Linked DNA regions of Danio rerio. The protein of the gene in region 4 binds, or shares a complex with, the protein of the main gene of each other region. Links are inferred from orthologs where the notes say so. Each region holds a gene or a part of one and is shown on either strand. Other genes may lie near its edges. The genes, in order: mta3, mta2, cdk2ap1, chd5, mta1 and cdk2ap2.

Region 1 (3,500 bases), on a different chromosome or scaffold from region 4:
GCTACCGTAAACCACAGTCCACACTTTGTCTCTTTAAAAATATAAAGCAATGAATATGACAACTTGGAGTCTTATGGACTCAATAGTCTGATTTCACATGGCCGCCATTTTTAAAGCAAAATCTAGTTCAAAATCAAAAATCAAAATCAAATCCTGCGGTGGGAAGAAACCTGGAAGTTTCGCCTGGCTGTATATCTTATCTGCGAAAAGAAAGTGAAAAATGTATTATTTCTCCACCTTTCGAGTGACCCAACGGTCCATTCTGAATTGATAGTGAAAATAAAAAAGGGACTTCAGACCTAATTTTCAGCTAAGCTAAGAGAAATGGCTACAGTTTGCTAACGTTATCTTTCCCAAACAAACGTTTTAGATGCCATTTATCAAACTCAAATTAATAAACGATTCTTTCACTATATTAGACTTGTCACGATACTGAATTTCAGGACCAATCGCTACTGAAATAAAAAAAAGTAAATTTCCTGCTAACATTTAAGCGCTCGTTCTTAAACACAGCTGATTTGCCATTGTGTTGACCAGTGCTCAACAGAAATTGCTGTGTTTGGCCTTGAAGGTCATCAGTTCACTTCATCGATGTTTTGCCAAATGCAAACACAAACGAGCAATCTGCTGATGACTCGACTGATCTTCATGGCTTTAAAATGCTCCAGTGTCGGTGTATCTGAGCGTTGAACTGATGACCCTCACGGCCAATCACAGTCATTTCTGTTGAGTACTGGTGAATACAATGGCAAATTAGCAGTGTTTAGGAACGCACTCAACTGCGCTTAAATGTTAGTGGGAAATGGATGTTTTTAAAACTTCAGTACCAGGAAAACACTATAGAGAGTGTGCTATAGAGGATTGGATTGTTTTATCACTCACCTGGTTACACATCCCCACTGTGTTTACCTGGTCTCTAAGGTAAATCATCAGGGGCGATCTTGATTAAAAGAAGACCTTAACTAATCGGTGTTAAAGCTAAACTCTGCAGTGCAATGGTCCTCCAGAAACCAGTTTGGACACCACCAATGCTAATCAATTAAATGCTGAGTTTGATCTCATATACTTTTTAAGTTTTTTTTTCAAATACATCAGACTACATACCCAAAATATGCAACACACTTTCAATCAAACCCAAAGAGGAAGTTACAGACCATGGTAGCCAGGCTTTGCTCAGAGGAGAGCAGTTCCCTCTTGACAGGCACTTGTAAATAGGTCAGTTTTACAGGGAGAGCTCATATCAACAGGGAAAGGGAGCGAGTCACTTGCTCTGCGTTTGTCCAATCAGAAGTTTTCAGCTTCTTTTTTTTTTTTTCTGCATCGTCCCCTCCCATCATGCGAAAACTCCATTCTATGCTTCCATTTCACCTCTGTCTCCACCCCAGACACGTCTGTATGTATCCCCAGCCATAAGAAGTTGTTCTGACATCTGTGTCCTGACGCACGAGGGACCTGGGTTGGGGGCATGCTGTTTGGTTTGTCTCTCTTTTATTTTTCTTTGTTTGAATGTCTTGTGGGCAACCAAAACACAAATAAAACCATGGCTGAAACCATCCTATCTGAGTCCTTGTAGTTTCATGTGTCTCGTGTACCTGTCCATCACTCTGTTGCACGCACTCCGACAGGCCGAGCCGAGCGGCAATCATGTGAAATCTCTGACAGCATGAGCTCCATCGGCTCCTGCCGTGCCTTCATAACTTGTTGACATGCACACACTCATGAGAAAGCTGCCGTGAATGCAACATTGCATTTGTTTTCCTCTTTCCAACCTCATTTAACATGCTGGCTGACCAGGTTATGTTCAACATCTTGCCTGCCCATCAGAGACTATGCATGACAATAATCAGGTTTACAACGTTGAAATGTAACGTGCAAATGAGACAATGAATTATGGGGGTTTAATACAACTCGGAGGTGAAGAATACAGTTTGTTTTACACGTTGAAGTTGGAGAAAACATCGTCTCAGCACTTCCCCAAAGGCACAGGTTTCATTCAATTTAAAGAATGGATTTTGTGTCAGTAGATAATGCATCACCCAATTCAACTCCTTTTTTTCCACATTCGATATAAATTGTTGAAGAGGTAATGAATTGAAGTTATATCGGTACATCTTCAAGACTGTTTCTCTCCAGGTTTGCCAAGACAACAAGAAGAACTGCTTGAAGAGAACAGGTTTAAACAACTTCCGACACCTCTGGACTTTTAATGAATTTTAAGGCAAAGTTGGAGAGATTTTAATGGGTTCAATGTGGTCCGATCAATGTTCTGGAGTTCAGCTGCAAGAAATATGTTCACTAGGGCTGAAAGAATGAACAGTGTAACAAATGAGATTTGACTCTGCCTGCTGCTTCCATGAAAATCGTTGTCCGGTCAGAAAGATTTGTCACCGCAGGGTTGGTGTTACGCTGCAACATCCATCAAGCCAGCCTGTTCAGAATGCCTCATGTTGGTGTCTAAGTGTGAATGTCTCTTTCATGCTCTTTGACTTGCTTCTATCTCCGTTTGTCTGTTCTGTACTGCTGGTTGATAAATAGATATGATCCGGGTGTCCGAGGGCATGACAGGGAGACCTTTGAAGCCCAAATCTGCTCCAAGGAGCACCCTGACCAGCGTCTTGCAGTATCTTGGTGAGCGACAAGAGATCTGATTTGTCTCCACTGAGTTGTACCTCTCAGATCACAGTGAATCTTCTGTCATTTCAGAGTCCCGTCCAGCAACTCATGTTCAACGGCCTCATCGCACCCCTGGCCTACAGGTGCAGCCTCCACGACGCCTGCTTTCTTCTCTTCCAAGTCATGGCCCGCTTGGAATGTTGGGAAAACGAAGCTACCATCACCACAGCAGGGTTGAATCTGCAGAAAGGAGGGCTGGTGCTACAGGACAAGGTGGGTTTACTGTTAAAATGGAAACTAAAATGGAAAGAAAATGTGTAGATTTCTTACTACATACCTCTTTTTTGTCGTAGAAAATCCAGCTCATATTGTGGGGCCCATTCTGGTAAGTATCAGACTTTATTTATTGGTAACATTGGGATTGACTGAAGCCAGTTTCTGGAATTTGCTGGTGCTTTTTATTTCTCTTAAAATTGAAAGGTTACATATTAGATAACATCTTACTGGCTTTTGTGTTGTAACCAGGCAACAAGGCCACAGAATGATCGTTTGTGGGAACATCATAGCATGTTGAGGACATGACATGGTAGCTCGTGACCACAAGATCTTAGAGTAGGAACATATTCACATCCAGAGCAATCAGAACAGGCAGGAAATTGCCAGGGCCCCTTATTTTGAGGGTGCCCCCTTGGGATTAGCATTGTGCCTAGAGGGGTAATAAATGGTAATTCTACTCAGGGGGACCCACCCTGGAATGTGATCATACTGTACCAAGAGGGAAGGAATATTTGTATCGTAGGGGAACCACCCTTGTCCAGAAGTCATGGCCTTAAGTTGTTAAAGAAACATGGGTTTTGCAACTGTGGAGGAAACAGGGATAGAGTGCT
Region 2 (3,500 bases), on a different chromosome or scaffold from region 4:
TTATAATTACATAGTTTGCATTCATTTGTATATACATTTTATATTTTACATAGCTATTAATATGCAAAAATCAAATAGCCTAAATCATTGGATTTGTTTAAGGGTGCTTTCACACCTGTGAATCGATTCAGTTGTTCCGAAACAGAGATTAAAATTGTTACATTGTTGCTCTTTGCTCTTGGAGCGGTTCGCTTTCACATTGCAAAGTTTCTAATCGGACCAAAAGAGCTAAAACAAGTCACGTGCGAGTAAACTCTCCTCACATTGGTCAGAGTGTCAGGGTTTATTTTGCAGCGTCCCGCTCAGCTGTCAGGAGAGGTGGTGGTTTGGTGGTGATTGACAGGGTGCGCGCGTGTGACGTGTCTGAGGAGAGATGCGGTGGGGAGGGGTGAGAAGGGTGCGCGACGATGCCTATTTGAGGACTGGGAGAGAGACGCGAGATTACCGGGAGATCATCACTCGTTTGCGGGCATCCGGAGACTCGCGAAACTTCCCGCCCTACTCATAATTCTCTCTTCATATAGCCGTAAGCCTATTACATATCCATAAAACACTGTGATATAAGCGCGCTCGGATCGGATCGCTTTCTCACTGCAATCGAACCGCTCCAGGGTTCGTTTCAATCGAGCCGAGACCACCTCACTCAAGCGATCTCGGAGCGATTACTTTGGCGCGGAACAGAGCGCGATTGCCCTGTTCACATATGCCAATCGAACCGCGCTAACTGGGCAAACGAGATACGTTCCGAAACAAAAGTGTAGGTGTGAAAGCACCCTAATTCGTAGATTAAGTTATGTTGGCTATTTTTTTAATGGATCTTTTATAAGAACTGTAAATAATTTTTCCAATGAAAAAAAATGTTGGTTTGTGGGTTGCTCCGACTTGTGGCCAACAGTGGACATTTCAGAAAGTTTGCGGCTTCTTTCTCTACTTTTGCTAAGACACTGAGGTGTTTATAATGCAGATCCTGGAAAAGGGTTATCAGCACTGGTTTGGCATCAACTTGTCTGTTTCAAACTGTGACCATCAATGTCTTTATTTTCACTCCTTTCATTTTGCTTATTTAGCACAATACGTCTATAGTTGCACTTGTTACCGCCCGGCGGGTTAACAAATACATGTTGTACATTTATGCAGCAAAACTTAAAAAATACTAATTAAAAAAAAAGAATATTTTAAACCATTTAACTGATACATTAATTGATAAAATATGCATTCCTTCGGTTAACAGTTAATCAATTAATGCAAACACCCCTACTTTGTGTATTTTATACTTGCAATTAACTTTCGGCTGTGAGGTCTCTTGAAAATCTCAAATGGTTTGTACATGTCTATCTTCTGTTTACCAATCAAAATGTTCATCCCTCCTTCAGCACCAAACCCAACCCCAACCAGATCACAGCACCTGGAAATAAACCTGGCATGAACGGTGCCACCGGCTACCAGAAAGGCCTCAGTTGTGAAAGCTGCCACAGTGAGTCAACTCGCCACTGCAAACATCCACAAACAGTATTTAGATACAAGCTGAGTAATTCCCATGCACTATACTGTATGTGTTATCATGGCCTGTTGTTCTTGCAGCTGCCCAGTCTCAGCAGTGGTATGCATGGGGTCCTCCTAACATGCAGTGTCGACTATGTTCGTCCTGTTGGATTTACTGGAAGAAATACGGTGGTCTGAAGACTCCAACTCAACTAGAGGGCGCCACAAGAGCCAGCTCAGTATGTCAACACCTACGTCTTTTAAAAATATATACAGCCAGAAAATGAGTATATAGCTAAATGAACATCATATCTGTCCAATAGGAAGCAGCTCCGCGTGGTCACATGACCCGTCAGGAGGTGCAGGGAATGTCCCCGTTTACCAGCAGTGCGGGACGAGCTAAACTTCTGGCCAAAAACAGGCAGACCTTTATCCTGCAGACCACCAAACTCACTCGAATTGCCCGTCGTGTGTGCCAGGACATCCTGCAGTCTCGTCGAGCAGCCCGTCGCCCGTACGCTTCCATTAACGCCAATGCTGTCAAAGCTGAGTGTGAGTCTTTTTATGCAATATATAAATAAAAAAATGCTGTTTTATACAGTTGAATGAAGATGTGTCTGACTGCCTCTTTCTTTTCTTTTAGGTATGATAAGACTTCCCAAAGCAGCAAAGAGTGGTGTGAAAAACCGGCCTATTCCTCGACCATCCCTCATCAATATAGTTAAAGATTTGGGTATGGCTTCAGCATTATTTCATAATAGAGACATGCTTACATCTTATCAAATTAGCTGACTTTTAAAGCCTAAAGTGTACAGTCAGTTTTTATGTATATGCAAGTGTCTACACACAATGTGCATTGGCAGCAGGTATGCATATACTTTGTCTACTTGGTCTCAACACTGAAGCAGACCACTCGCTTGACATTTTGAAATAGATGAGATGAATCAAAACAAGAAGAATTATTACAGATCTTATTTAAAGGCTGTGTCCAAAAGCTCTAAAATGCTGCCTTTGGATACAGCATTCAAAGGTGTGAAGGTATTAAGGGCGTACTCAAACTATGTACAGTTGCCTTGAACTGGGCCAAAGCACGCTTATCGCCATTCCCATCTCCCCTGGCGGCCCGCACTCGCCTTACATTCGAGCCCTGGCACGCTTACGTCATCGCTGATGCGCTGTTCAGTAGAGAAGCGCTCTCGCTCAGCACAGTGGAGATTTCTTACTGTTCAATGACACTTGTCCTAAAAAAAAACTAACCAATATTCATTTTTAGTATAATCTGAGGGATTGTTTTTGTTTGTCAAGCCACTTCTTTTGATTAAATTAACACTGATGCGAATGTAGTGAGTTGCAACTGTAAATGTAAACACACACCTAAATAACTGCAAAGTATACTCTTGGCTTCGTGGTGGGGAAAAAACTACTCAAAAGTGAATAAGTATGGCTCAAGACTGATCATTTGACTCTTATTTATTATTTTACACAATTTTATTCAGAGTATTCAGAGTAATATGTACTCGTTTTATTTATTACTTTTTTAGCCATTCAAGCTCCTTTGAAACTCAAAGCCCCTCGAGGTGCTCCAACCCCGATCAACCGTAACCAGGTTAACCAGCCTCGCAGCGCATCTGCCCTGCTGGGCAAAAGGCCCTTCGACAATGTGAGTATCCCTTACTAATGTACATTAGCCTTTCCCAGAGGTAGAAAAAGTAGCGTACATTGATCTAAGCACCCTCATTGGCCACAGGCTGGAGGTCATTTGCTCTCCACCAACGGAAGACCGTTTGCAATGGGAATGAGAGCAGCCAACCAGTCCGTCATCAAGAGGCAGAAAGTCAGTCAAGGCGATGCTCCCAATCCTGTGGTGTTTGTGGCTACGAAAGACACCAGGTATGCGTTTCAGGGTGTGTTCACATTTGATTACTTTCATTCAGTTTATGTATTCTGATGCTGTTATGGGACGTTCACACAAAATGCGTTTTTCCTTTGCAACGTGCTACTTTCCTATTGTTTTCCAA
Region 3 (4,163 bases), on a different chromosome or scaffold from region 4:
GCGAATCTCTGCTCACGCACCGGTTTCCTTCATAGACAAAACTGCTCGCGAGCTCTCAAAACACCGGCTGCTCACGTGCGAATGATCTGCTCTCGCTCGGTCGCACTCCTCTCGTGCTTTTCCAGAGATGCTTCAGCGTACTGTAGTGTTAAGAATAGTGAACTGATAAATGAAATACAGTGCAGTTTTACTACAGTAAAGTGTGGTGAATTGTAGAATAATATACAATATATTGTAAAAAACTTAAGCACTGGGGAGTTTATTATACACTTACCATAGCAACTGTAGTATTACCACAACAGAGTAACTGAAGCACTTTACTGTACTTCACACAACACTGTACAGCAGACACGTGTGCACTTTATTTCAGTGATAAAATGGGACTGATAGTGGGATTTATTTGAAGAGTGAACAGTACAGTAGGCTATAATACATAATCAAGTCTTTACCTATTTTCTATCACAGCTACACTTCTGCTTGCCAGATTGACCAATAATTATTGGCTAGAAACTGCAACAGCCATGGGAAAGGAGGAAAGCTTTTGTAAAACTTTGGGAAAACTCTGAGGGATGAGTTTGTTAAAACAAAAAAGAGGCCTTCAAAAACATCTTCAGTGATGATGATGATGATCTTTTTACTCGTCTGATTTTACTGTCTGTTGTTTTGGAGTGCCCCCTGTCAAAAATATATCTCAATGGTGAACGTGTCGAGTATAAAAGTCTTAATCTGTTTTGTGAGTTGTGCGGCGCCAGGTGAAAGTATAAATCTGCATTTAGATGTTTGTTTTTCTGTAGTTCACTGGTGCATTTAACCTGACTTTACTACTGTTCAATCTAAATAACTTTATTTTACCCCTAATTTTGTGCTTCTACATTTTCTGTCGTGTGTTCTTGATATTGCGATATAGGTCTTAAATTTAATACTTAATGGTCTTAAAAAGATCGTAAAAGGTCTTAAATTTGACATCATGATATCTGCAGAGACGCTGTTAACATGCTATACAGTGCAGAAGTGTGTGATTCGGGACACAGCCAGAGCCTCACTCCTCCTCCGTGTGTGTGTGTGTGTGTGTGTGTGTGTGTGTGTGTGTGTGTGTGTGTGTGTGTGTGTGTGTGTGTGTGTGTGTGTGTGTGTGTGTGTGTGTGTGTGTGTGTGTGTGTGTGTGTGTGTGTGTTTTCCTCAGGTCTGATCATCCCGCAGAACTGTGTGTCTCCGCTGGTCAACATCCTGTCATCATCAGATCAGAGTCAGCAGCTGGCGGTGCAGCAGCAACATTTATGGCAGCAGCTGCACCCGCAGAGCCTCACACACACACCTCTCACGTAACACACACACACACACAGGACAGACCGACTGCGCTCAGGGTTTCCCACAGTCCCCCGGGGTCTGCTTCTCCTCCAGCATGCGGACAGACGCTCTGCATGGATCAGCTCCGCTTCAGGACGTGGCTCTGTCTCCTGGCCGTCTGAGAGCGTGTGGCGGGCCGGCTGGAGCCTCTCCAACTCTTGCTTTTTAATGGTTCTTGTTTTTGTGTTGTTGTGTGGAGGAGCGGCTCCCGGAGCTCGTCTGCTGTACATGTTGGACTCTTCTCTCTCCGTGTATATCTGACATGTGATGTTCTTCTGCTCTGCGTGTCCTTCATCTCTGCACGAGTTGCACTACTGACGGATCTGATGTACAGAGAATATAACTGACTGCAAGACCTCTACCTCTTGCATTTGACCAATAAATCTTGTGGATTACCTCGATTTGACGGCTGTGGTTCATGTGATGTGCTCCTCTGTTGTGTTCAGCTCAGTGGAGGAGAGGAGACGGCACGCCTGCTCACCTTTACATTCTGCAGTTCATCTGCAGTTATAAGTGAGAGTAAGTGAATCATGTGCATTTATACAGTTCATACACATGACGACAACACCACCAGTGTGCAGGACAACAGCGCCAGTGCTTCACCACACACCAGCTAGAGGTGGAGTGGAGAGACAGTGATGGAGCCAGTTCAGTGGATGGAGCTGATGGAGGGAGTTTGGCCAGGACACCGAGGTTACACCCCTACTCTTTACCAGAAGTGCCCTGAGGTTATTAATGAGCACAGATAGTCAGGAGCTTTGTTTTAGGTCTCATCTGTAAGACTGAAAACCACTGATAGCCCCACCCTAAATTACTGAAAGCTCTGCCCTAAATTACTGATAGCCCCACCCTAAATTACTGAAAGCTCTGCCCTAAATTACTGATAGCCCCACCCTAAATTACTGATAGCCCCTCCCTAAATTACTGATAGCCCCTCCCTAAATTACTGATAGCCCCTCTCTAAACTACTGATAGCCCCTCTCTAAATTACTGATAGCCCCTCCCTAAATTACTGATAGCCCCTCCCTAAATTACTGATAGCCCCTCCCTAAATTACTGATAGCCCCTCTCTAAATTACTGATAGCCCCTCCCTAAATTACTGATAGCCCCACCCTAAACTACTGATAGCCCCTCCCTAAATTACTGATAGCCCCGCCCTAAATTACTGATAGCCCCACCCTAAATTACTGATAGCTCAGCCCTAAATTACTGATAGCCCCACCCTAAATTACTGAAAGCTCCGCCCTAAATTACTGATAGCCCCACCCTAAATTACTGATAGCCCCTCTCTAAATTACTGATAGCCCCACCCTAAATTACTGATAGCTCCTCCCTAAATTACTGATAGCCCCTCTCTAAATTACTGATAGCCCCTCCCTAAATTACTGATAGCCCCACCCTAAACTACTGATAGCCCCTCCCTAAATTACTGATAGCCCCTCCCTAAATTACTGATAGCCCCACCCTAAACTACTGATAGCCCCTCCCTAAATTACTGATAGCCCCTCCCTAAATTACTGATAGCCCCTCCCTAAATTACTGATAGCCCCACCCTAAACTACTGATAGCCCACCGTAAATTACTGATAGCTCCACCCTAAATTAATGATTGCTCCGCCCTAAATTAATGATAGCCTCAACCTAAATCACTGATAGCTCCACCCTGAATTACTAATAGCCCCACCCTAAATTAATTATTGTCCCGCCCTAAATTATTGATTGCCTCACCATTAATTACTGATAGCCCCACCCTAAATGAATGATAGCCCCTCGCTAAATTGCTGATAGCCCCACCCTAAATTAATGATTGTCCCGCCTTAAATTACTGATAGCTCAACCCTAAATTGATGATTGCCCTGCCCTAAATTAATAATAGCCCCGCCCTAAATTACTGATAGCTCCACTCTAAATTAATGATAGCCCCGCCCTAAATTGTTGATAGCTCCGTCCCTAAATTAATGATTGCTCCGCCCTAAATTAATGATGGCCTCACCCTAAGTTACTGATAGCTCCACCCTAAATTAATGATTGCCCCGCCCTAAATTAATGATAGCCTCACCCTAATTTACTGATAGCTCCACCCTACATTAATGATTGCTCCGCCCTAAATTAATGATAGCCTCACCCTAAGTTACTGATAGCTCCACCCTAAATTAATGATTGCCCCGCCCTAAATTACTCATAGCTTTTCCTTGAACACAGACAGTTCAACTTTAAATTATTTCTAGCCCCGCCCTAAATTACTGAAACCTTTTCCATCCAGACACTGATGCGGCTGTGGCAAGGTAAAAAGTTGTAAGACACGATGTCGTCACGTGGAGGAGTTTATGCGTCTATAAATCACGTATTTCATATTTAGAGGGTGAAAAAACAATTCTGGCGTATTTGAAGAATTTTAAAGGGACAGTTCATCCATAACTGACAATGCACTCACCCGAGAGTGTGTTAAACTGTTATAGGCTTCACTTCTCTGTCAAACACTGAAGATGATATTTTGAAGAATGCTGGAAACCTGTAACCATTGACTACCATAGTGTCTGCTTTTCTATTATGGCAGTCAATGGTTACCGGTTTTCAACATTTTTTTTTTTTAACATCTTCAAACAGAATAGTCAGAGTCAAAAGTGAGTAAATATTGATTTTTGAGTGTACTGTCTCTTTAAAAATGTTACAAGCCTGTAACCATTGACTTCAATAGTGTGAAACAAATACAGTAGAAGTCAATGGTTACCCTTTTCCAGCGTTCTTCAAAACATCGTATTTGGTGTTCAGCAGAAGAAATAAAGGTGGTGTGAGAGTTAAAGGGTGAGTAAATG
Region 4 (3,500 bases):
ATATTTATTTGTAATTATTAGAGTTAGTACATGAAACATGTAGTAAGGGCACCTTAAAACAAAGTGATACCCAATGATCATTATGTAAATGCATGTATTTACATTTGTTTTTATTAAAAATGTTTTAATAAAAATGAGTTACATTGTTAATCTTAAACTTAACCATCTCACTAAATTCCCCACTTAAATAGCAATACAACTTTAATATTATAAGTACATAACCTTTTTTACAATACTTTTTTTCCAATAAACCTAGCACTTTTTGATAGGAGTACATTGTTTAAAATGTCCGATAAGAAATTGGACCACAATCAGTAGTTATGCCATAGAAAATGTATGGCTTAAATTAAAATCTATGGATGTGAGGTGATTACAAATTATAAGGGCCTCTGTTTTAATGTTCCTATGTATAAAAATCTATTTTGCGATTAGTTTTAGTTTGACTGCCAGTGGCGTACTGGCTTTAATGAAAAAATTTACAAAGCAAACTAAATCTAAAAAGACTGCATTACAGTGAGTTTAAATCGGCTTTAGTATTTGACAGCAAGGGTATCATAAATTGTACTTTTTCCTGAAAAATGTTTTAAGAAGGAATTTTCAGTAGCTCATGTTTGCACAAAAGATCCTTACAAAGGATTCTTTTTTGGCAATTTAGTGCACAATAAAAAATGGCTAATTAACAGTTTGCTATATTTTGTTTTGTTATTTTTCATTTAGTAATGCTTTCGATCAGTGGTCACCAAACTTGTTCCTGGAGGGGCAGTGCCCTGCAGATTTTAGCTCCAACCCTAATCAAACACACCTGAACAAGGTAATCAAGGTGTTACTATTGATTACTTGAAACACCCAGGCAGATGTGTTGAAGCAAGTTGGAGCTAAACCCTGCAGGGACACCGGCCCTCCAAGACTGAGATTGATGCCCCCCTGCTTTAGATGGTAAAAATTGTGTTGTTTAATAAAGTGATTGTCATCAACATTTTTAGTAGTTGGGCTCATTGTCCAGTTTTTATGCCATAATTCACATGAACTTTTTGGATATTAGTTAGTTTCAACTGAGATTTTGCGAATTTATGCAATTTTTGCCATATTGACACTAGCAGCGACCTTGTAGCTGCCTGTCACTCTGGGTGGCGACCTGCTGCAAATGCAGGTCTGTGTAGGTCTACAGCACGATGATTACAACTGGACTCTGAGCTGAGAGAGGATCACGTGAGCTCCACTGATGCTTCTATTTGCTGTCACACAAGAAAGTCGATCTTTATTTGCATAAAGTTAAAGGACTTTATTGCATCACTCGACATGCCCACCTGGTCGCCAAGGATTTCTGTCGCTCGCATAGACAAAGGTCGGCGGAAGTCGCTCACTCTCTGTTGAAATAAGCTGACACTTATCGCTTTGCCACTGCTAGTCGCTCGTAGTGAGAATGAGGCTTTGGTCACTAAAAAATTTAGTCACTAAAAATTCTTACTTCCTTAAATTGCTTAGTTACCCTAACTTGCACTAGTAAAACTGGCTAAAAATGTTAAGTTAAACCTTGTGTAGCTAAAATAATTAGTTGAAACCTGAATAACTTACTTAAATAAGTTAAAGTAACATAAAAGCGTTTGTTGTCATTTTTACATTGTTATTCACCAAAACACAAAAAGTTACAAATTGCAATGAGACATGGTTTGAGACGATGACATGTGGCGTATGTGGAGACAGGAATGCAAGTAGTAGCTTTTTATTCCAGCTTTCCTGGCCTTTCTTTTCTGCAGCCACAGAAAAGTTCAAATTAAATACTTAAACTTAATTTGTAAACTTATTGTTTTCTTTTCAAATATGGATTCTTTGGTTGTTGCTGTCATTCAGGGAAAATTTCAAATCAACGGTTACCCACTGTAACTACATGTTTACTATGTTTCTATATAATGTCCGCCCTATACACAACTCCTTAACTTTCAGATTTTGATTGTAATGCAATTGAATCTGTCCCTTAAATTGAACTTAAATTGAATTGAATTTATTTTTATACAAGTGGTCAATCTCCTCTTCTTTAATGTCTTTACTGGTATTCACAGGGGCTTCCCAGCGGGCTGGATGACATGTCAGACAGAGAGGATCATGGCCACAGGTCGGGGAGCGAGAGCAGCACCTACAGCGCCCTGAAGAAGAAAAAGAAGAAGCCCAGAGAGAAGAAAGAGAGGAAAATGAAACAGCGAAAGAAAGAGGATGATGAGGATGAGGACGATGACGATGATGGAAACATGAAGGTTCTCCTGTAGAAATGCTCAGTTCTGTTTTATCACTAATCATGAAAATAAATGAATGCTAGTTTTTTTCATGTGATAACAGGAACCAAAGTCGTCCAGTCAGCTAATGCAAGAGTGGGGTCTCGAAGATGTCCAGTATGCCTTCTCGGAGGACGATTATAAGACTATCACCAACTACAAAGCCTTCAGCCAGTTTCTTAGGTAGGATTTCAAAGTTTTCCTTCTGCGTGGACGTTCTAATGCCCTGCTGTCAACATGTCTTGTTCTATTTTAAAATGTTCCTTCTGGCAAATGCTAATGCCAGTATGAAGTAATGACATTATGATGACAGGTTTTCTAATAAGAGGCATTGAAACACGATGTACTGTCAGACCCACTTGTCTACTGGAACCAGGATAATCTTTTATTTCATAGACACTCTGTTAGTATAAGCTGGCGATTTCATTGCACAGGCCTCTTTGAGTAGTGATGGATGATATAATAAATAAAATCTGACATGAAACAGATTCTTTTCTTTACAATTTGAACTATACTGATATTAACGCCAATACTGATTGATTTTAGTGCTTTTTTCAAGATCGATAATGTTCATTTTTAAATGAAAGACAAAATCGGTCAGAATTAGTTCACTTTAGCTACTACTACTTAAATGGAAATACCTGATACATACTGTCAATTCATAACAAATAGGAACATGAACACCATTAATAATATTAATATATATAACATAATACAGCATTTTACAGAAAAAATAATTACATAATCTATTATTGTTAAAATACATTATTATAAATGTAATTAAAATAAACTAAAATACCAAAATAAACTGTGTTTGATTGGAAGTTCTTGAAGATTTCTTCATCAATTTCTCATCTCAATCTTAAGCTTTCTCTGTATTTTAATTATTTAAAACAACGATGTTCAGAAACATCCAAGTACACTCATAGGTATATTTAAGAATGACAGAGGTAATTTATTCACTTCATTTTGATTGTTCGTAAATATATTATTGGGGCTGCACGGTCGCACAGTGAGAAGCACGTTCGCCTCACAGCAAAAAGGTCGCTGGTTCGAGCTTCGGCTGAGTCAGTTGCCATTTCTGTGTGGAGTTTGCATGTTCTCCCTGTGTTGGCGTGGGTTTCCTTTGGGTGCTCCGGTTTCCCCCACAAGTCCAAAAATATGTGGTACAGGTTAATTGGGTGAGCTAAACCGTTTCTGTGTGGAGTTTGCTGGATGCCCTTTGAAAAG
Region 5 (3,500 bases), on a different chromosome or scaffold from region 4:
GAATAAACATGCATAAATGCATACTGTATGTACACTAAAAAAAGTTGACAAAAAGACAACAAATATCTTAATGTTACCTTTTTTTTAGAAAACTAGTCAGTTTTCAACTTAAAACCCACAAAGTTTAACTTAAGATTTTTAGTCAGTTTAATTGATTTAGGTTGAGATGACTAGAAAAGTTCATTTGATTCAACTAAAAAAAATAAAGGCAGCAAGATTTGTTTTCGAAGTGGACAGTTTAAAGACTTGGTCCTCTATTTTGACGATCCATGCGCAAAGTCCAAAGCGCAGGGCGCAAAAGCATTGAGGACGTGTCAAAATCCACTTTTGCTATTTTAAGGATGGAAAAATTCTCTGCGGTGCATGGTCTAACAGAGTTGAACTTATTCTCTTAATGAGTTATGGGTGTGTTTTGAGAATAAACCAATTAGAGTGTCTTCTCCCATTTCCTTTAAGATTCAGTTGCGTTGCACCATGACGAGAAAACAGTTAAACAGCTCTTCTGCCATGTGAGAATGAGAGAATGAGCCTCCTCATTCTTTACCTTCGCTAAGAAAACATGTTGCACGCACAGACATCCATTAGCCTATTCATAATTAATTTAGTTTGTTAAGCTCAAAGATTTGTTTCAACACTACTTCTAAATTTGGTTCTAATTTCCAGCAAAGAAATAAATGACCAATAATAACGAAGTGTGGTCAATAAACGAGTTATATCCTAATACACATGCTATGCCCCATATGGTCTAAAACCTTTTTTAGACTAGAACGCCTATGGTCGCACATAAGAGCGCAAACGCAATTGCTATTTAAACAGCGTGGGGCAAAACGTTGAAGCTGAAACTAGCAAACAACAATTGCGCCGCTTTTGGTCCATTGTGCGACCCTTATGTTTTCAGTTACAGGCCATCTTAAAAATTAACCTAAGCACTGATTGTTTCGGTTAATTTAAAATTAAGACTAAGTTTATGTTTTTTAGTTCTGTTTACTTTAAATAGATAGTTCACCCAAAAGTGAATAGTTACTTATTACTTATTTACTCATTCTCAAGTGGTTTAGTTTTTGGTTGCTCTATACACAATTCACAATTCTGCCCTGGCCTATGTCAGTGAACTTATTAGGCCTTATTCAGCTTGTAGACCATTAAGATCCCATGACCAGTTTCTTCTGTCTGTCCCTCGGTCTCGCTGCAAATCAAAAGGTGATCGAGCTTTCTGTGTTGCGACCCCAAGGCTCTGGAACAGTCTCCTTCTAAACATCAGGATTTCTCCTTCATTGGATGCTTTTAAATCTAAATTAAAGACTTATTTTTACTTTCTTGCCTTTGAGTGACGCATGCATGTTATTTTTTATTTTTATTTTAGTATTACTTTTGAACATATACATTCCCTTGTATTTTTAATAACAGTTTTTTTTTGTTTTATTGTCTAGTTGATTTTGTTGTAGAACACTTTGGATCAACTACGGTTGTGTAAAATTGTGCTCTATAAATAAAGTTTGCCTTGCCTTTCCTACCTTTAATGTTTGCTCAGGTAAAGGTTCACACTACAGCGAGTAGAGCAGAGAGTGATGTAGGAAGGATCTTAATTTGTGTTATTGTTTTTTTTTTTATATTTAGCCACCAGCTCGTATCAGTGGTACTCGTGGGGTCCTCCCAACATGCAGTGCCGACTCTGTGCCTCCTGCTGGACCTACTGGAAAAAGTACGGAGGTCTGAAGATGCCAACCAGACTAGATGGAGAGCGGCCCGGACCCAACCGCAACAACATGGTGGGTGAAAAGTGGATGTTCTCCAAAAAAAATAAAAAACAAGCTGCAGTTCTTGACATGAAATCCTCTTCTTCTCTCTCTGCCCCCAAGTCTGTTTTATTCAGTCTGTTTTCTCTTTTGCTGTGCAATTCTGTTTTATTACACCTCTTTGTGACTGTTAAATGAACGCCCTGAAAGAGCGAATGAGCCAAACTGTCTTTCATCTATGTTTAAAGTGGAGTTCGTTCCTTTAAGATATGCAGTATTTAGATTCTTCTGTCAGCAAGAGCTTGACTTTCATATCTCTGTCTGTGTTCAGAGTCCTCACGGTTTGCCCGTGAGACACAGCGGAAGCCCCAAGTTTGCCGTTAAGACCAGGCAGGCTTTCTACCTGCACACGTCTCAGATGACGAAAGCCGCTCGACGCGTCTGCCAGGACCTGCTGAGATCCAAATACTTGGCCAGACACCCGTACACACCTGTCAACACCATCGCTATCAAAGCTGAGTGTGAGTAGGCACATATTTGAAGATTCAGTTCATTAGATGCAGTTGCTTATTGTGGAAATTATGTGTGAAGTATGAGCTGATGTAAACTGTGTAAAACTAATTATAAAGTACTACTAAAATCTAATTGTTAAGATATATAATATATATATATTAAGGGTGTCACGATCTTCCAAATCCTCGATTCGATTACATTTTTGATTCTAAAGGCACGATTCGATTTTCGATTATGAATCATTAATTAATTAATGACCAATTAATTATTTGTAGCCTACCGTTTAAACTACCTGACCTGCATGGTCTTTGTTTTACCCATAAACAAATCATACAGTAAATGAATAAAGGCAAGATACACACATAATTACCACCTGTCAATCACTTTTTCTGCGGGACTCGTGAAAAGGCAGTGATCTGTGTCGTTATAGTGGCGTCGGTAAAAAAGACGCACAACTAACAGGAACCAGCCAACAGTATCTGAGGTGTGCGCTAAAATGACAAGTGAGTAAAAGATTGAAGCAGTCTACTAATCCTCTGACTGCCTGAACCCGCTGTCTCGGAGCCCATGGCTGTGTGTGTGCGTCTGTGTCTGTGTGTGTGTGTCAGAGGTAGAGAGGAAGGAGGGCTGCTCAGAAATGCTACACGCCATTGTGGATCTCAAATCGTTGTCGTTCTAAAATGCCATTTAAAAACAAAGACAGTGTAAACAGGGCCTGAGTGTGTACTTTTCGTGAGCGAATTTGCAATGGGGGCGGGCGGAGGATCGCGATGCCGGTGTTGTCTATATATATATATATATATAGATTTTAGGAGGTCATAATTGTATTACATTTAGCAATTTGAACTTTATAATTAAAAAAAATATATTTTTATTATTGTTTTGATACATTTTCTGTGAAAATCCCTGTGTTTTTCTATAATTGCTAGCAACATTTAAGGAATTTAAAAGTTTGCTTGAATTAGATTTAATATAAAAATTAGATTTTTATATTCTTTATATTAATTGTCCTGTTTTATTAATATAATTTCATAAAGCTCATGAATGTTTTTTAAATATTAGAATTATTGGAAAAATTAAAAATATATTATTTACTCTTTTGTTTACATTCATTTAATGTAATGTAATGTATTTAAAAACTAAGTTTTATTTGTTGTAATGAGTTTAAGAAGTATTACATTTCATTAAAAATATGAAAAATAAAAGCATATTTGACAGCCTTCATTTCGTTGGGGGAAATCATCTGCTTGT
Region 6 (3,991 bases), on a different chromosome or scaffold from region 4:
CTTGAAAAAAAGGCAAACGAGCTGTGTGCCTGTGCACATTTGAATAATGTCAGGCTGTAAACGGGTTTGGCCTTTTAAAAAGCTGTCAATCAAAATGTCCCTGTCGGGCTCACGCCGAATTCTGTTGGGCTTGGGCCCTGTCGAGCCTAATTTTTATGGCCCAATTACAGCTCTAAGACACAACTGTCAGTGAGTGCCGTCTTTCAGATGTTAAACTGAGGTCCTGACTCTCTTTGGTTAATGAAACTTTTCATAAAAGAGTAGGGGTTTAATCCCAGGGTAATCGCCAAAATTCTCTCAATTAGCCCTTACCCATCATGGCCTCCCAATCATCCCCATCCACCGAATTGGGTCTATCACTGTCTCGCCACTCCACCAATAGCTGGGGTGTGGTGAGCCCAGTGACGCTGTAGTCCTGTGTCTGTTGTGGCGTACAGTCTAGGTACGTGGCCGGCCGGAAGTGAGATATGCACATAAATATAGCAGCATTTTTTTGTGATTCTATAACAATAATTAATGTTTTTAATAAATTAATATTTTTCAACAGTACATTTTTGTACTGTTGGGTCAGTAAGATTGGGTGTAGGATTGGGGTGCGGGTAGACAATAACAAAATACAATGGGAAATGTAAAAATAAATAATATAAATCATTCTCGCTAGCTTCTGCCAAAGCCGTGTGCGATCTAGTGACAACCCTGGTGTGGTGGTGGTGTGGAGAGACCTTCACATGATTGTGAAGTACTACAGTTATATTGGCCATACATGATAAAATGCAATATATATAAAAAATACGCATTTACAAAATAAATAATAAAAAAAATTGTAGACTGCAAAATGTGTGTTTAATGTATCACTTTGGCATTAAAGACTTCCAAACAGGCATACAATAATGCATAGTTTGCTCTAGCTGGCTCTATTTCATCAATTACAAAATAATATTATCTAATAATCATAATCATAATAATAATAATAAACGCCTTCGACTATCAACATTCCACACGCTTATATTACCAACTCACTGTTTTCCACTTTCTACAAACAAGAAAAATCCAGAATGAAATCTTCATTGTGGAAAAGAGAGGGAGAAGGGGAGAGAGAGGCGGCAGAGGCGCGTGCCTGATGACGCAGTCACTCTTTTTGCCGAGTATCATGGGAAAATAACATAGCAGGCTAGCACGCGCAGGAAGAGAGGAGAAGAACCGACACCTCCGCGCACAGAAACTATTCCCGTGCGTTAATATTCATATTTACCTCCCCGAACAACTACAAACCGGCGAACAGAAACCACATTTAACCGTTCAGCGAGTCGTGAAGTGTTCCCGGTTGTTGTTGTCGGTTTCATTTGTCGGCTTGTTGGATATTTAGCGCGTGTCGCTGTCGAGCGAGTTTGCGGAAGAGGTGGGTTGTTAAATGTACCTTTCATAAATCACCACAGGCATCCTGCCGTCTTTAAACCACAAACTATATGTTTACAACTCTATGAACGCTGCACGTGGTGTACATTTTCACAAAATAGTGAAAAGTCTGTCAAATGCGGGCGATTTAAATGGACAAGTCGCGGTTTTCGAGCCGGTTAAGTTGAGAGGGGACCGTCATTGCTGTCCGCTAGCCTTTATCTTGTCTCACCTCACTATGCATATCTATACATCTGCTCTTTGTGTTCGCATTAGGTCAACGCCGTTCCTGCTTCGGACGCCAAAGCCCAACGAGATTACATTCGGGGGATAAGCAGAAAGTTTTCATCACGCGAGGTTACAGTCGACGGCGGTGTAAATATGAGTTACAAGCCGATCGCCCCCGCACCCACCGGCTCCAACCACACTCCTCCAGGTGAGTTTCATTGTGCTCTCTGTTCATTCATTTTTACGTGCTTCTTTCATTTTGAGGTATTTTACGCCTATCATCTTTTTAAACGCCCCGTTTTAATCCCAAGGAAAGGGTCAGTGAACCTACAGTAAAAGAGGTCAGAGGCACGGATAAAAGGGGGAGGAGTTAAAGGAGCCATGGCCATCTGTCTTGCTCATTACATAAATGTGGTTTAACGTGCTGCTAACCGCGCCCTGCAGCGTTTATTTTTAAAACCATAACTGTTTCCCCAGTGTTAGTGTTGTGCCATCACATCTGTGTGTCCCAGTCTTGCCTCTGTTTCTCCTCACTTCCTTACACACACAAACACACTGGGTGGCAACGTTTCATTGGTCGAATTTGGCCTTTTGACATTTCCTTGATTTGTGATTGGTCTTTATCTTGTTCTCTGGTTTCAGGATCTTGTGGCTCTTCTCCATCACTGGCCTCCTCTTCAAACTTTAGACCAGCATTTAGTGACTTCGGTCCTCCATCGATGGGCTTTGTACAGGCATGTTTTGATGACATTGGGGTTTTTTTGCAATTTGCTGTATTGGAACAATGATTAATTTCAAACCTGTACATTTCTGTTCTTTTTGACACGACCAGTCAAAATTTTGAACTACGTTTTTCAGATGTTTTTGGAAAAGCCTCCTTGGCTCACTGTGGCTGCATTATTTAATGAATATAATATAATTGCTGTAATGTTGTGTTTAACATTTTTATAATACAATTTTATGAACAATTAACACATTTATATAGGCATTGGGGCATAAATGAGGCAGTGTATGTTTTGGTTTCATATTATGTTAAGATTAAATGTAAGTGTTCTTGTAATTAAAATATCCAAAACCCAGTAAAAGTGTTTTTTTGCTAACTTGTGTACTTGCTTTATCTCAAATGTTAAGTAGAAATTGAGAGAAGTGAGCAGTTTTAACTTGACACAACCGTGTCCAGTGTTGCCATGCTAATTATGTCATACATTTGGTGGCAAAGAGAGCTGAACGTGCTGCAATTTAAGAAACTACAAAAAACAAAAAAATAGCTATTACAAAAAACGGCAGCAAATTGAGAAAAGATCTTCATCGGTTTGACAGCACACGTGCTGCATTTTCGCACAACGCAAACAAATAATAAAATACGCTGCATTTTCACACAACGCAAACCTTTTACGACACAGTTTTTGGGTCACCTTGAAACATTTTCGTTGAGTCAAGTTTTTTGTGTTGTGAGCAAAATCAGTGCGTTTTCGTAAATTGTTTGAGTGTGACAAAATGCAGTGCGTTTTCGTATAAATTGTTTTATTGTAAAAAATGCAGTGCATTTTTGAAAACGAGTATGACAAAATGCAGTGCGTTATTTAAATTGTGTGTGACAAAATGCAGTGCATTTTCGTAAATTGTTTGCATTGTGAGAAAATGCAGTGCATTTTCGTAAACTGAGTGACAAAATGCAGTGCGTTTTTGTAAATTGTTTGAGTGTGTCAATGCAGTGCATTTTCGTAAATTGTTTACGTTTTGAGAATTCAGTGCGTTTTCGTAAATTGTTTGGGTTGTAAAAAATGCAGTGCGTTTTCTTAAACTGTTTGCGTTGTGAGAATGCAGCTGTTTTATTATTTTTTTTGTGTTAAAAAAGCAGTGCGTTTTTTATTTATTTATTTTTTTTTATGTTTGCGTTGGGAGAATTCGCAGCACAGCTGTCAAATGGATAAGGATCTTTACTAAATTTGCTTGCGAGTTTTGTAATTGCGCGTGTTTACTTAAATTGCAGCACATTGAGCTCTCTCGGCCACTGTACATATACCCTTGATTTATGTTTTGCTTTTATAGAAAACTGAAAATGACGGTCCTTGTTTTATGTCGCATATTTTATTAGACTAATCAGAGCAGCAGTATAACAGAAGCCTAAAATTTATTTAGTATGATAAAACTGCTGTGCTGCTTCACATGATCACAATTTGGGGGAAAAAAGGAAGAGGTTGACTGTGGCATAATAAAAGCTCCACTGTTTTTCTGCTATGTCGCACTCTTCTCTTATCAGCAATTGCTTGATTGCTTGGAAGTCCTAATTCCAAAATGTCATTTATTTCTTTAGAGGCAAAGCAGAATTTTCATTATCGTTATTTCAGTCATCAGTGTGACCTGA

Evidence for each region.
Region 1: chd5 (region 4) and mta3 share a complex: the UniProt entries of both Homo sapiens proteins name them as parts of the nucleosome remodeling and deacetylase (NuRD) repressor complex. The link is inferred for Danio rerio from reciprocal best matches to the Homo sapiens genes CHD5 and MTA3.
Region 2: chd5 (region 4) and mta2 share a complex: the UniProt entries of both Homo sapiens proteins name them as parts of the nucleosome remodeling and deacetylase (NuRD) repressor complex. The link is inferred for Danio rerio from reciprocal best matches to the Homo sapiens genes CHD5 and MTA2.
Region 3: chd5 (region 4) and cdk2ap1 share a complex: the UniProt entries of both Homo sapiens proteins name them as parts of the nucleosome remodeling and deacetylase (NuRD) repressor complex. The link is inferred for Danio rerio from reciprocal best matches to the Homo sapiens genes CHD5 and CDK2AP1.
Region 5: chd5 (region 4) and mta1 share a complex: the UniProt entries of both Homo sapiens proteins name them as parts of the nucleosome remodeling and deacetylase (NuRD) repressor complex. The link is inferred for Danio rerio from reciprocal best matches to the Homo sapiens genes CHD5 and MTA1.
Region 6: chd5 (region 4) and cdk2ap2 share a complex: the UniProt entries of both Homo sapiens proteins name them as parts of the nucleosome remodeling and deacetylase (NuRD) repressor complex. The link is inferred for Danio rerio from reciprocal best matches to the Homo sapiens genes CHD5 and CDK2AP2.

What each region holds. Positions count from the first base shown.
Region 1 is NC_133187.1:27,050,415-27,053,914, forward strand, and holds part of mta3 (metastasis-associated protein MTA3), read left to right. Parts: intron 1-2,535; coding exon 2,536-2,628; intron 2,629-2,703; coding exon 2,704-2,886; intron 2,887-2,966; coding exon 2,967-2,998; intron 2,999-3,500. UniProt on the Homo sapiens protein: Acts as a component of the histone deacetylase NuRD complex which participates in the remodeling of chromatin.
Region 2 is NC_133182.1:17,905,426-17,908,925, forward strand, and holds part of mta2 (metastasis-associated protein MTA2), read left to right. Parts: intron 1-1,373; coding exon 1,374-1,474; intron 1,475-1,581; coding exon 1,582-1,721; intron 1,722-1,805; coding exon 1,806-2,034; intron 2,035-2,125; coding exon 2,126-2,215; intron 2,216-3,023; coding exon 3,024-3,142; intron 3,143-3,229; coding exon 3,230-3,372; coding exon of another isoform or gene 3,373-3,386; intron 3,387-3,500. UniProt on the Homo sapiens protein: May function as a transcriptional coregulator. Acts as a component of the histone deacetylase NuRD complex which participates in the remodeling of chromatin.
Region 3 is NC_133185.1:50,699,559-50,703,721, forward strand, and holds the start of cdk2ap1 (cyclin-dependent kinase 2-associated protein 1), read left to right. Parts: upstream 1-1,363; 5' UTR 1,364-2,040; intron 2,041-4,163. Other genes in the region: sbno1 (protein strawberry notch homolog 1), read left to right, coding at 1,184-1,326. UniProt on the Homo sapiens protein: Inhibitor of cyclin-dependent kinase CDK2. Also acts as a component of the histone deacetylase NuRD complex which participates in the remodeling of chromatin.
Region 4 is NC_133186.1:31,704,378-31,707,877, reverse strand, and holds part of chd5 (chromodomain-helicase-DNA-binding protein 5), read left to right. Parts: intron 1-2,060; coding exon 2,061-2,252; intron 2,253-2,334; coding exon 2,335-2,453; intron 2,454-3,500. UniProt on the Homo sapiens protein: ATP-dependent chromatin-remodeling factor that binds DNA through histones and regulates gene transcription. May specifically recognize and bind trimethylated 'Lys-27' (H3K27me3) and non-methylated 'Lys-4' of histone H3.
Region 5 is NC_133192.1:39,468,717-39,472,216, forward strand, and holds part of mta1 (metastasis-associated protein MTA1), read left to right. Parts: intron 1-1,617; coding exon 1,618-1,769; intron 1,770-2,067; coding exon 2,068-2,257; intron 2,258-3,500. UniProt on the Homo sapiens protein: Transcriptional coregulator which can act as both a transcriptional corepressor and coactivator. Acts as a component of the histone deacetylase NuRD complex which participates in the remodeling of chromatin.
Region 6 is NC_133176.1:43,113,650-43,117,640, reverse strand, and holds the start of cdk2ap2 (cyclin-dependent kinase 2-associated protein 2), read left to right. Parts: upstream 1-1,191; 5' UTR 1,192-1,399; intron 1,400-1,671; 5' UTR 1,672-1,776; coding exon 1,777-1,831; intron 1,832-2,265; coding exon 2,266-2,357; intron 2,358-3,991. UniProt on the Homo sapiens protein: Acts as a component of the histone deacetylase NuRD complex which participates in the remodeling of chromatin.